Linked DNA regions of Drosophila melanogaster. The protein of the gene in region 2 interacts with the protein of the main gene of each other region in a pairwise test. Each region holds a gene or a part of one and is shown on either strand. Other genes may lie near its edges.

Region 1 (4,490 bases), 5.8 Mb from region 2:
ATACTAATATCAATGTTTAATGGGTATATATTTAATAAAAGCATGATTTTCTTAGAAAATTAATCTAAGCCCAATGTGCTACTTCTTCCACTGAAAACCCGAAGCTACTTTACTGACACTGAAGATTTTCGATGTGCGCATTCTACTTCTAAAACTACTACTACTACTAAAACTACTCATTCTAAAACTACTGATTGCACAGGCTATAAATAAAGTAATCTTTAAGCGTATCTACTTTGAAATGGTTATTTTCGTTTCGAATGTGTAATTATACATGTGCTGCAAGAGTCTTAACTAAACATATATCCACGAAATGTACTATTTTTAAGCGTGCACGCAACCTTTTCTTAAATGCAAAAGAACCAACTTAAAGAAAGGAAGTCCTTGAAAACTGTTTAACAAAATGCATGCTATGATACCGATAATTATACTTAATGACCCTTAATTTGATTCCGGTTCATTTGCTTCAGCTTAGCTCACCAAAAGCTCGCCGAACGAACAAAAATCGAACTTGTAATTGTATCAATTAAGTGCTTGTGGATTCACCGAGCGGTTCTTTTGGTTCAACTTTTTGGAAATTCGATGCCCTTGCATATTTAGCCAGGGCAAGTCCTTTAATTAAGACTGACAAGCAGGATGGCTGAAACTTTGAAGAGCTTATGAATTATTTCCTTTGCAGGACTTTGACTCCTTCAACCGAACAGCACAGTCGGTTTTATGGCTTTAAGGGTATATTAATCATCACTCTTGAACAGTTGCTACTCATTTATACGTGTCTGAACTGAATTACAATGAATACCAATTATAAAATGCACAGGAATTAAGGATATTATTTTTAGAAGCTATAGGTGGCATGCCATTTATTAGTAGCGTTAGCTGAGTATTTGATAAGTTTATTCACTAGTTTTACTTTAACAGAGGGACTTGTTTTTAACCTTTAACAAAACCTAACAAAAGCTCATTCTGTAAGTATATAAAAGTAGTCACCGCTGATAAAATATATATTTTTTTTATTTAAGTCTATATAATCTAAGTTTCAGACGATGCTTGCTCTTCGCGCTTAGCGCTAGCAAAGCTTCGAGATTATAATCTCAGCCGCTTATAATCTGCGTAAGACCGCCATCATCGTAGCCACCTCCACCGCCGCCTCCGTAGCCTCCTCCACCTCCTCCTCCGCCGTTACCATAGCCGGGTCCAAAGTTGCCCGAATATACTGGACGACGGCCACCTCCTCCACCTCCGCCGCCGTTGTAGTATCCTCCACCGCCTCCGCCTGCGTTGTATCCACCTCCTCCTCCTCGTCCTCCGTTGCCACCTGTGTAGACTCCAGGTCCTTGGCCTCCGGGTGGATTACCTAATAGTGATATTTAAATCAGTTTCTTGAGGAGTAGTAGTTACTTAATTGCGCGCTAGCTACTGCATTTTTTACGCAAGCCAGCAAATGTACTATGCGCTATAGAAATTAAAAGCTTAAAGCTAAGTGTTCGGAATTATATTATTCATAAACTTAACCAATAACAAATGTTTAGAGTATCGTTAATAATCACTTAATGACTTTCGTTGCCAAGAAATACCATAATATAATAACAAATTGATTGTTCATTCAAACTTTCGCTAATGAAAACACAAAATTTCCTTTTAAACTATGCCTGATGTGGCAGCGACGAAAATCGTTGAACAATTTTTGAATAAATGGCCCAAATTAATAGGCATTGACTTACAGTCGTAGCAACCGCCACCGATGTAAACAGCCGCCTCCGTTAGAGCCAGTGCAAAAAAAGCGATAATCGCAAATGCCGTCAAGGTTCTCATTGTGGCTGGTCTATTAGAACGTCGAACTGGTCTGGACCAGGTACGAACCGCAACAGCAGCTTATATACGATGCACTCATCGATTCCGATTCCGATACTGAATTTGAATTCGAATTCAAACCCAAACAGACCTTATCGCTGCAAAGAACTATTGCTGTGCAAACAAACCACTACGTATGTATTAAGTATTAATCTCAGGGAATTGCCCGCGGATGGGTTTCAAAAACAATCTGTAGCGCATCAGTTGGTCAGTCGTATTGCATTCAAGATACTCTACGTTACCTTTTTAACATAACAAATACACAAAATCTGTAAAATCTATAATAAGTCAGACACTTTTCATTTCTACAAAGTTGCAAAGATTTATTTTTAATGAAATGTATTTGTTTTCAAATATATTTTTTGCTTTTTCATTGTATTAAGTATCTTATTATTTAAATATAAATTGTTAGCTTTAGAACTAAAGCTTCTACATTTCACTCACGAGTCACGACTTTCGGTTCTGTAACCAGTTTTCCTTAGATGTATGGATAAAATTTAATGGTGTGCGATTCTCTGGAATCGCTTGCCATTCATGTTTACGTCTGGGAATAATTGTAAACCGACTTTTCGGGGCGTGACTGTCATAAGTTTCTTTGAAGAAGTTCAAGGAAATCAACTACGTCGACCTGATGCCACAAAACCGTGTGCGGAAAACCCCATCGAATTGCGATTTGATAGTGTTCTAGTGTGAAATTAATTTAAATATATTGTTCAAATACAAATCGAAAGCTCCAAACGCTTAGGCTTATGCAAATCGATTTTGATTCGGATCGAATCAAGTGCCGGACTATATAAGTAGCGTGAGAGTCGATACGGTCATCTATCTATCGGCTTTAATATGAAGTACCTGACGTGTGTGCTGCTCCCGTTGGCTTTAATTCCGACTCTGATCGGCGGTAAGCTGGACGGGATTGCTGCTGACGCTAATTGATACACACTGAAATTATTTCCAGCTCATCCCAGCACAGTGGTGGTGAATGGCGTCTGTCTGACTTGTAAGTTGCGATTGTTTTGCCAGCTAGGCAATTGGACAACTTAATGAATAATAATATGCACTCGAAAAGGTCCCAATCCGAATGGTGAACCCGTCTACCTGGATGGCCAGCAGTACCGCAGCTTCTCCTCATCCCCTGGCGATGGTAATGTGGTCATTTCCCGTGGAAATGACGGTAGTGGCGGTGGAGGTGGCACCATTTACCGGAGGGGTGGTAATACCATCGTCAATGGCAGATGTCAGCACTGCAACGTGGATCCCTATTAAAGGCTTAAACAATAAAGTCTGAATATTGAATTAAAATTGCGCACATATCGATCAATCCATTTCATACTTACACTTGGCTATGTACAACATCATTTAGCTAAAAGCATTGACAATCGTTCAACCCAGTCTCTCTGCAAATTCGATGAATGTGATGGTTTCGAGTGCAGAGGGCATCATCTGATGGAGGCAAAAAATGGAAAAATGAGCGTTTTATATTCAGTTTTTGTTACCACGAAGTACACGTGGAGAAACATGAAACATCCGAGTTATTTTATGCTGCGAAAAAAGCGTGAAGAATGTTATAATTGCTTTTGGTCGAAATATTCAGTCCTGAAAATCAAATTTTTCACATTTAAAATAAGAATTTTTTTTAACGATTTCCAGTACCTCATTGCGTGCACTGCGAGCTGTCTGTTTGTGAACATTGGCTTCTCTCATCCTTCTCAAAAATAAGTGATACAAAAGCGTTACATTTTCAAAAGCCTTGGTTTCAAAACAGTCTGCAAATAAGGGAAGACCCACGGATTTTGTGACGGAAAAATAGAGAAATTCGTGCTGCCAATGGCATCGATTGTTTGAACTTCAGCTAGTTGCCACATAAACTGGGCTGGGAGCTGACGTCGCTGTCTCCAGAGTATTGCACAGCATCGATAATCAAATGCGAGTAACCAACCGTGCAATTTACGCCAGTGGATGTGTTGTCAATGAAAACGCTGGCCTGATGTAAGGGTGCTTAAGGTTGCGCGTGCCACGTGGCGTATACGTAATGCTACTGCAGGAACGGCAAACAGAAGCCTCTCAAATATTTGCTTTGAAACTAACTACTCGACAAACAGTAAACACTTAGTGCATACACACACACACACACACACACACACTTCCCAAGAATATTTTGTGCAGAAGTTTCGAATAAAACTGATGCTGTGTTTTTATATACAGAATAAGAAGGGAAAAGTTTCATTCAGGCTTAGCATGCGAAAACAATTAAAATTGTAAAAGGATTACTTAACAATCATACAATTTTGATTTAAGCGTATAACTTAAGAGAATAGTATTGATTCCCGGACATCCAAGAATAAAAACCTAAGCTTTATTTGCAATTAAAAAAAAATACAATGCATTGAAATCAATGGACTGCCCTTGCGGATGTGCTAAATTCAGAAAAACGCTCGACTGGCTTAAAATTCAATGAACATTTGGGTGGCATAACCATACCAATCGTAAAGGGTTTCGATACACTTTCTCTGATTTACTTTTAATACACTTTATTGGCAGAAATGTGTCGTTTCCTATCTTTTTGGGTCACAAATTGTTTACACGCAACTTTAGAAGCCCCATGAAGCTGAGGAACTCAGTCCTAGTCCAGAACAGGGTGG
Region 2 (8,031 bases):
TCAATGGGCCTCCTTTCTGCCAACGCATCATTTTATAAGGTTTGCTTTGATCTTTACGGAATGAACGACTTGTGGGCTTTATTAATTAGGCAACTTTTAACTGCCGATTTACCTTTTATACAGTTTTGCACGCATTTTCATTACGCCTCATTTTTCACCCATACACTCTCACACGCACGCACGCACGCACAGACACAGTTACACACGTTCGGACCGAATATTGAAATTTGCAACTCGATTTGCTACTGTGCGCTCGTCGATTTCTGGATAACAACTTAGTTCACTACTTTTTATAAATTAAGCTGGGCTTGTGTTTAACTGATTTTCTACGAAACAATCCTCGAAAGACCAAAAAACGCACGCAAGAGAGCACGAGAAAAATGGTGCGATTTTTTCCCCTGCCTGCAAACACACACACACACGCTTATACATGGACAGAGACGGAGTAAGACCGTATAGAAAAACGAGGGAAATACTCTAGGCTGATTTAATGCTGATTACTGGTAAAAGAAAAATGGGATAATTTAATTAGCTTTTCCCGTTTATTTTAAACAGATACTTATATACTTGTGCTAAAGACAGAACTTACCTAAAGCCCTCTTTACATAAAAGATGTTTAAACATAATTATGAAATAAAAATACTGTTTAAAATACTGTTGCTGGCGAAACCAATTAGCCGGTAAATTTGTTTATCTACTCTTTAAAACTGTATAGGCCCACGGTAATATCTTTCGCGTTTAACTGATAATTTGTTTTTATAATATTATAAATTTTATCTTATTTATTGGTCCTGGATCCAAGGATTTCTCGGCAATTGGTATAGACATTTACACTTCACATTGTCTAAATTTGTAACTTATTCAACAACTGTGTACCATGCAATATATTTTGCTCTAATTTATTTAGTGTATAAAACCTTTTCAATATTTTAATTATAATTACGTTCGACACTGTTTTTGCGGCTGATTTGGGACTAAAAAACGAATCTGCCCAGTTCTAGGGTGACCATACAAAAACCTCTAATGAAATACCGAATTCTGAAATACCGCATCTGCAACACGTGCGAGTTTAGCTCTCTCTCCAACAAGTAAATAAATTTTATATTATATGCGATTTGTACAGGGAAACATCATGCCAGGAAAGTTGGTAAGATTGTCTAGATCTTTATGGAAACTATTTGGCCTATAACATACTTTGTTTAGGTGGGCTCTCCGAAGGGAGCTGCTCGAACAGGTACCCAAGCAATTGCACATGCCGGGGATCACAGCGACCTTGATGAACCAAAACCCAAAATCGCCAAGAGCGACCCACCATCCACTGCCATACCAAAGAAGAACAACTTCAAGCAGAGAGAAGGTACCAAGAATGTAAAGCCGCCCACTTTGGAGGAGATGAAGGAGCTACGAGACACCCAAAATCTCTTCCACTCCAATCTCTTTAAGCTTCAAGTTAAGGAAATGCTGGAGGAGCTGCAGTTAAAGCAGAAATACACAGATTTCATTGAAAACTGGCTTGAATCCTTTACGGCCTTTACCCGACAGCTAAAGGATGGCTTGATGGAGCGTACCCACTTGGAAGTTCCAATGAAGCTTTCTGAAAAGCCGACCGGATTTGTTTTCTCCAAGCCCACCAGGGAACCTTATCTGATCGGAGCCGCCGCCACGGGCACTTTGCTGGGTCCCAAAATTGTAGTGGATGTGGCCCTGGAGATGCCAAAAGAATCCCTGCACAAAGAAGATTACCTAAACCTTCGCTATGACCAGAAGCGAGCTTTGTATCTTACTTATGTGACGGAGAGGATGATGGAGTCCCCAGATTATGCAGAAGATCAGTTTAATTTCAACTACTATGCTAACAACCCGCTTAAGCCGGTTCTGGAATTGATCCCAGTTACTAAGCAAGTAAACAAGCACCTGCAAGTGCGTCTGTTCATCACTGCCCCATTAAGCAGTTTTAAGCCAGGCAGATTTGTTCCCTGGAACAACAATATTCGGCCCTCGTTTTACGGTGACGAATGGGACGAGAAAGATCCGCTGCCCTCCACCCAACACTACAACGCAAACGTACTGTTTGATCTAACTTTGTCCGAGAACCAGGCTCAATTGGATAAGGCCTTTAAGAGCAGGCGTAATTTTCAGGACGGCCTGCTGCTCCTTAAAGTATGGTTGCGTCAGAGGCAACTGGACATAGGTTACAGTGGGTTTGGTGCCCACATCTTAGCCGCTTTTATTGTGTACCTAAATACGCAGCGCATTCTGCATCAGTCAAGCAGCAGTTACCAAGTGGCACGCACTGTATGGAACCAACTGGCGAACACGGACTGGACGAAAGGCATTAGCCTGTCTGTTGCTCCCATTCAAACGGAAGAATTAAACAAGTTTGCCGAACACTATGACGTTTGCTTTATAGACTTCACTGGACAGCATAATCTATGCGCAAATATTCCGCTTTACCTGTATCAGAGAGTTCGAGAGGAGGCCAAACTGGCGGTGGAACTACTGAACGACATGAAGCTAAACAGTTTCCCGCTTATCTTTATGCAAAAGTGTCCACTGTACAGCAGGGTGGATAATATCTTAAAGTATGTGAAGCTAAAATGTTAGTTTTTCAATTATAAACTTTATTTTTCCCCAGGATTTCCAATTATTCATGCATAAATCAAATGCTTACACTGCATTCGCATCCTCGAATTAAGTACGATTTTGCTAATTATGGTTACCCGCAGCTGCTACATTTACTGACTGAGTGAGTTAACTAAGCTAAACAGGCAACTTACAAAGAAATAATAATCATAACTTTAGGCTCCTTAAAAAGGGACTTGCTGAACGTGTCCACTCCATACTACCCTTAGAAACTGCGACAGCCGCCTGGCCTGTGGAAAAAAAAGCGCCCGTTATTGGGAAGTATATTCAACTGGGCCTTATACTTCAGCCAGAGCACGCATACCAGGTGTTAAACAAAGGACCTGCTGCCAACGATGATCATGAGGGAGCTGAGGAATTCCGACGGTTCTGGGGAGAGAAATCAAACCTACGTCGGTTTCAGGATGGCAGCATCACAGAAGCTGTGGTTTGGGGGACCGCCCAGGATTCACCCGCCAAGAAGCGACTAATTGTTCGCCAGATTGTGCTGCATCTATTGGAGCATCACCTACAACTGGACAGCAAGGAAGTACAATACATTGGCGGCGAGTTGGACCAAGTCTACCAGCTGTCTCCTTGGTTTAAGGTCAATAAGCTAAAGACCAAGCTGCCATTGGGTCAAGATACCGACGCAGAGGCACTTAGTCCGCACGTCATCCGCTGCTATGATGAGTTGGCACGCCAACTACACGGGCTGAATGATCTTCCTCTAGAGATAGTCTCCATATCAGGCGTCTCGCCCATTTTCCGCTACTGCGAGCCGCAGCCCGTTCTCCCACAGGCGCTTCTGGTAGAAAACCGCATCCTGGCAAGCAGCATTCAGCGTGTGGTAATCCAGCTCGGGCAAAGCGGCAAGTGGCCCACTGAACTTGGTGCACTGCGTGCTCTTAAAACTGCATTTCTTATCGAAATTGGCGAAAAGTTGGAAGCGCAGTGCCGGCTTCATTGGGTGATGTCCGCCGACGGTCTGCTCGTACTCAAGCAAGGTTACTGCTTCCTTATAGAGCTGGCACACAACAAGGAGCTGGCGCTGCTGAAGCAGGAAGTTACTGAGCGTGGCATAACTACATATATAGACAATGCAGCCAGTCGTTCCTTAGAGCGTCAACATTATATTCTACCCAAAGTAAGTGGGGCTCTACATTCGCTTCATCAAACTTACAGCGCATTTGGTTCCACTGTGCTGTTGGCCAAGCGCTGGCTGGCCACACAACTGCTGGACGATGGCTTGTGGCCTGATATGGCTACTGAGCTACTGGTGGCGCATCTCTTTCAGCAGCGGTATGCACCGCAGTCCATAGCGGCACCTCAAACTGGATTCATACGTTTCCTGCAGCTGCTTTCCCATAGCGATTTTAATGGCGAACTCTTCCTGCTAAACTTCAACAATAGCTGGCAGGGTAAGTTCTTTGTTACCACTCCATAATGTTATAAAATAATTCAACTTTACGTTCTCAAGAACAACAAATTGCCGATCTGGAGCACAACTACCGCAGCAACCGTCAAAGTTATCCTCCTTTGGCTGTGGCCACCTCTTACGATATGCAGCATGCCGGACGATTGTGGACCTCGGATCAGTCACCCAGTCAACGGGTGCTTGGACATGTGACGCGACTGGCCCGCCATGCGCTCGAGATTATTGAAACCAGCCTGATGTCGAAAGATCTGAGGTTTGTGCGGCCGGCCCAATTATTTCGAGCTTCCAACGAGGGATACGATCTGGTTATCCAATTTAAGCCAGATCTCGTGCCGAATTCCTTAAGCTACGATCTGGGGTCACCATTTGTTTCATTTAGCCAGCCAAACTTTAGCTTGCCCCGCGCAGGATCAGATTACATTGCTCGAATTGTGGGACTACTAAGAGTAAGATGTTATAAAGCAGCCAGCTTTGTATTTGAAAATTCTCATTTCCCTTCTTTTTTCCGCTAGTCTGCATACTCCGACTTTGCTGCGTTCTTTTACAATCCGCACGGAGGCAAGGAACTGGGCATTGTATGGCGGCCACCAACGGAATTCGCTGCAAAGCCATTTAAGGTCACAGAGCTGCAGGCATGCAGTCCTTGTGGTAATAAAAAGGTTCAAGTTCTCAAGGAAACACTGCTCGAGGACTTCAAACTCTTACTGAAAGATTTCTACCTGCGCATCGCCACACCAGAGGAGCTCAAACGGGAACAGCGCGAGCATCAGAAGCCCATGCGGTACTTTGATGCCAACAAGGCAGAGGAGGAGTCGAAGCCAAAGCCGAAAAAGCATAGGCAACGCAAGGGCACCGGGAAAAAAGCACTACCCAAAAGGAAACGCCTAATAAAAAGCTCAACCCTTAAGGTCTTGAAATAGTTATAGAAATATGTAGCTAAACCGTTACTAAGTTAAAAAAATAGCTTTAATTTTGGTTTAAAAAAAAATGGCATATAGCAGCATAAGAAATCGCGAAAAACGGTGATATAAAAACTATAGCATTACTGATGTTTACTTATGGACGCGTTTTGACTGAGCTCCTGCTGAAGTATTTCGTGATCAGGATTGAGATTCGTCCAACCCGTATGTTTGGAGACTGATGGCTTGGAGACTTGAGCTCGCGGATAGGGATTTTGGCCCAACGGTATCGTTCTATAGAAATGAGGTTCCACATGAGGTTCAAAGTTATTAACCTGGGTGCAGAGATCAAAGCGGATATGTCTAGATGTGCAAGGCTGCTCCTGTGGTGGTACGGGCGACTGAACTTGAGGTTGCATTGGTACTATCAACGTCTGATCCGTGCAGGTCGGTTGTGACTTACAGTGCTGACAGGTGCTTTCCACCGATGAAGTGTAATCACATTCAGCTGATGTGTAAGACTCTGCTGAGGTCGTTTCAAATAGGTCGCTATATGTACCGCACCCGGTGGAGTTTGTGTTGCGCTGAGCCTGGCATCTCGAGTTAGCGGGCTCGTTCTTCATATAGGTATTTTCACTGAGACAGCTCTGAGTTTGGCAACCCACATTCTGTGGAGCCTTCACAATAGAAGTTCTAGTTGGGGTGGCGGTGTCCTTCGTTTGGCAACTCGCATTCCGAGGCATCTCGCGCTCCACAGTTGTCTGCGTTTTGGCAAACATTTGAGTTTGACAGCTCGAGTGCTGCGTCTCGCACTTGGGGCAGTGCTGGCATCCAGTGTTTGTCATCAACCCGGATGTCGAGGTGCCGGCATCGTAGCAAAGTGGTAAACGGTGTTCAGATCCCGACTTTTTCTTTGACCAAACCAATTGAGTAGACACACTTGCAACTGTCTTCAGCGGGTTCGAGGTTTCCTGTAGAAAAAGACATGTATCATTGGTCGACTTTGCAGGGTTCACATCCTCTTCGATGTCCATTCGCATACAGACCCTTTTGTCAGAAGCATTGCGGAGAAGATCATCCAAAGTGCAGAAGTGCGTGGTGTTTGGCGGGGGGAAATAAACCGCACCTGGCGAAGAAGTATCCAAGGGAAGAAACTGCCCGTTGGGTCCTACACGACTGTAGCTTATCACTCGCGTGTCTTCCACACGACGAATGTCCTGCTGGGTGAGCACAATAATCTCATTGCCAACCATTATGGGAACTTACCGAAGAAAAGTTAGTCAATACTCTGCATATTACAATAATCAATATCGATGCTCACTGTGAACAGGTGGTGCCCCCTCCTCCGCTACCTGCATCACTTTTCTCGTGTTAAAATTGTTCGCCATTGCCAAAGATTACACAAATTTTGGAAAATATTATCAAATTCGATCTGAGAATTTAGCGTTTGAATACAATTTTTTCTATAAAACACCAAAGGAGAAAACGATATTTTGATTGGCCACAAATTTGACAATTTGACAATTTCGAAATTTTAAATTCAATAGTTAAATCCGTTTAATAAATAAACGAATTTTATTTATAATTATATTCTGGGTACTTTTCGTTTTTATTACCGTGCCAAAGATCACAATCACAAGTTAAAAAAAACTCATTGGCCCATGTTTATATTTTCTTAAGTTAAACAAACAGTTTGAATCATAAACTAATCCAATTTGAGGCAGCTTAAATAGAGGAATTATAATGTCGTCTTCCACAGTAATGTTGTCCCAGTCTTAAAGAAGCGATTATACGAAACTCAGAAAAATACTTCATTTTACATTCAAATTAATTCCTATTAAGCCGTACACTAAGCATTGTTTAAGGAAATGATTATGTTTCTTTTATATATATATATACTACAGTCCCAGCTTAAATTCGGCGTTCTCCGTGCCATTTTAACTACGTACGGATTCCTCCTTAACATTGGGCGTAATACTGGCCCCCGTCGTAACTGTGTCTTTGTCCTTGGTACCAAAATCCGGATACAGCTTGGCCACTTGACCCAACGGAGTGCAAAGGCGTCCCGAGAAATCCAATCGTTTGTTGGACTGGCTTCGCTCTGCTGAGGATATAATATCTAGCAGGGATCTGGGGACAAATATTGCGCGAATTAAGGACTCTATCAAGAAATACATACATACGACATACCTTTGCCCACAACTAGACATGCGACGCTTGCTCGCCTTGAGAAGGCTATTGGAGCTGCTGCTGCCACTAGCACCGACGCTACTGATGGGCTCCAGCCGTTCGGGAGAGAGTGGGGATTCCGTGTAGGTGCGCAGGAGACTTGCTCCAGGTTCCGACTTCAGCGGGGCATCGCCGTATGCGGCTCGCAAACTCTGTAGGCTTTCCAGCAGATTTTTATGGTGCATTGTGGTGGCATTTAGTTGAATTAATTGCTCCAGTTCCCTGTACAGCAAGCGGTACTGGTCTTTGGCCTTGGAAAGCTTTAGTCTGAAATGAGTTAATTAAATATAAAAAATTGAAAATATATAAAAGATATCTATAAATTGCTTACCTTGCTCCATTGGTGTGGGTAAATGGTAGGACATCGCCACGCGAGGCGCTTTTGTACAGCTCGTGAATGTGCTGCTGGCACCGCACCTCGTCCTGCTTATCCATGTCTTCCTTCACTAAAAGATGGAGAAAATGCGGAAGCCAACTGATGTGTCGCTGTAGATGGAACAGAATCGAAGAGCTGGTGGTCAGGGGGAAGTAGCGAGGCAACCGGCGCGTCAAGGGCGGAGCAGATGGATCCTTAACCTTGAGCGGAACCACGCGCGACATCTTGATCAGTTGACCAAGTTCGGCGGTGCGATAGTCCGAGACACGTCCTCCGGGGCCATCAGTAATTGATGGAGCCTCATCCATGCAGGAGCGCGTGATGCACAGGGAGTGCACAAAGATCTCGCCACCGCGTGCAGAAAGCATATGGCTGGTGGCCTTTGAGCCGGTCTTGCGCGGCATTTCCAGCAAGACTGAACGTCCGTTAAGCAGAAAGTTAATCAAGCAAGAACTGGGCCGCGAGGT

The links. The genes of interacting proteins can lie anywhere in the genome.
Region 1: the proteins of Mst89B (region 2) and BomBc3 interact in a two-hybrid assay, tested with the Drosophila melanogaster proteins (one large-scale study listed by BioGRID).

The regions. Positions count from the first base shown.
Region 1 is NT_033777.3:22,084,512-22,089,001, forward strand, and holds BomBc3 (bomanin bicipital 3), read left to right. Parts: upstream 1-2,671; 5' UTR 2,672-2,691; coding exon 2,692-2,749; intron 2,750-2,806; coding exon 2,807-2,848; intron 2,849-2,917; coding exon 2,918-3,114; 3' UTR 3,115-3,990; downstream 3,991-4,490. Other genes in the region: BomT3 (bomanin tailed 3), read right to left, coding at 1,092-1,354, 1,722-1,812.
Region 2 is NT_033777.3:16,265,412-16,273,442, reverse strand, and holds Mst89B (Mst89B), read right to left. Parts: upstream 6,432-8,031; 5' UTR 6,348-6,431; coding exon 6,281-6,347; intron 6,221-6,280; coding exon 6,006-6,220; intron 5,931-6,005; coding exon 5,103-5,930; 3' UTR 5,010-5,102; downstream 1-5,009. Other genes in the region: Mat89Ba (maternal transcript 89Ba), read left to right, coding at 1,109-1,147, 1,204-2,582, 2,636-2,746, 2,803-4,043, 4,103-4,506, 4,573-4,980; asun (asunder), read right to left, coding at 6,897-7,089, 7,150-7,455, 7,520-8,031.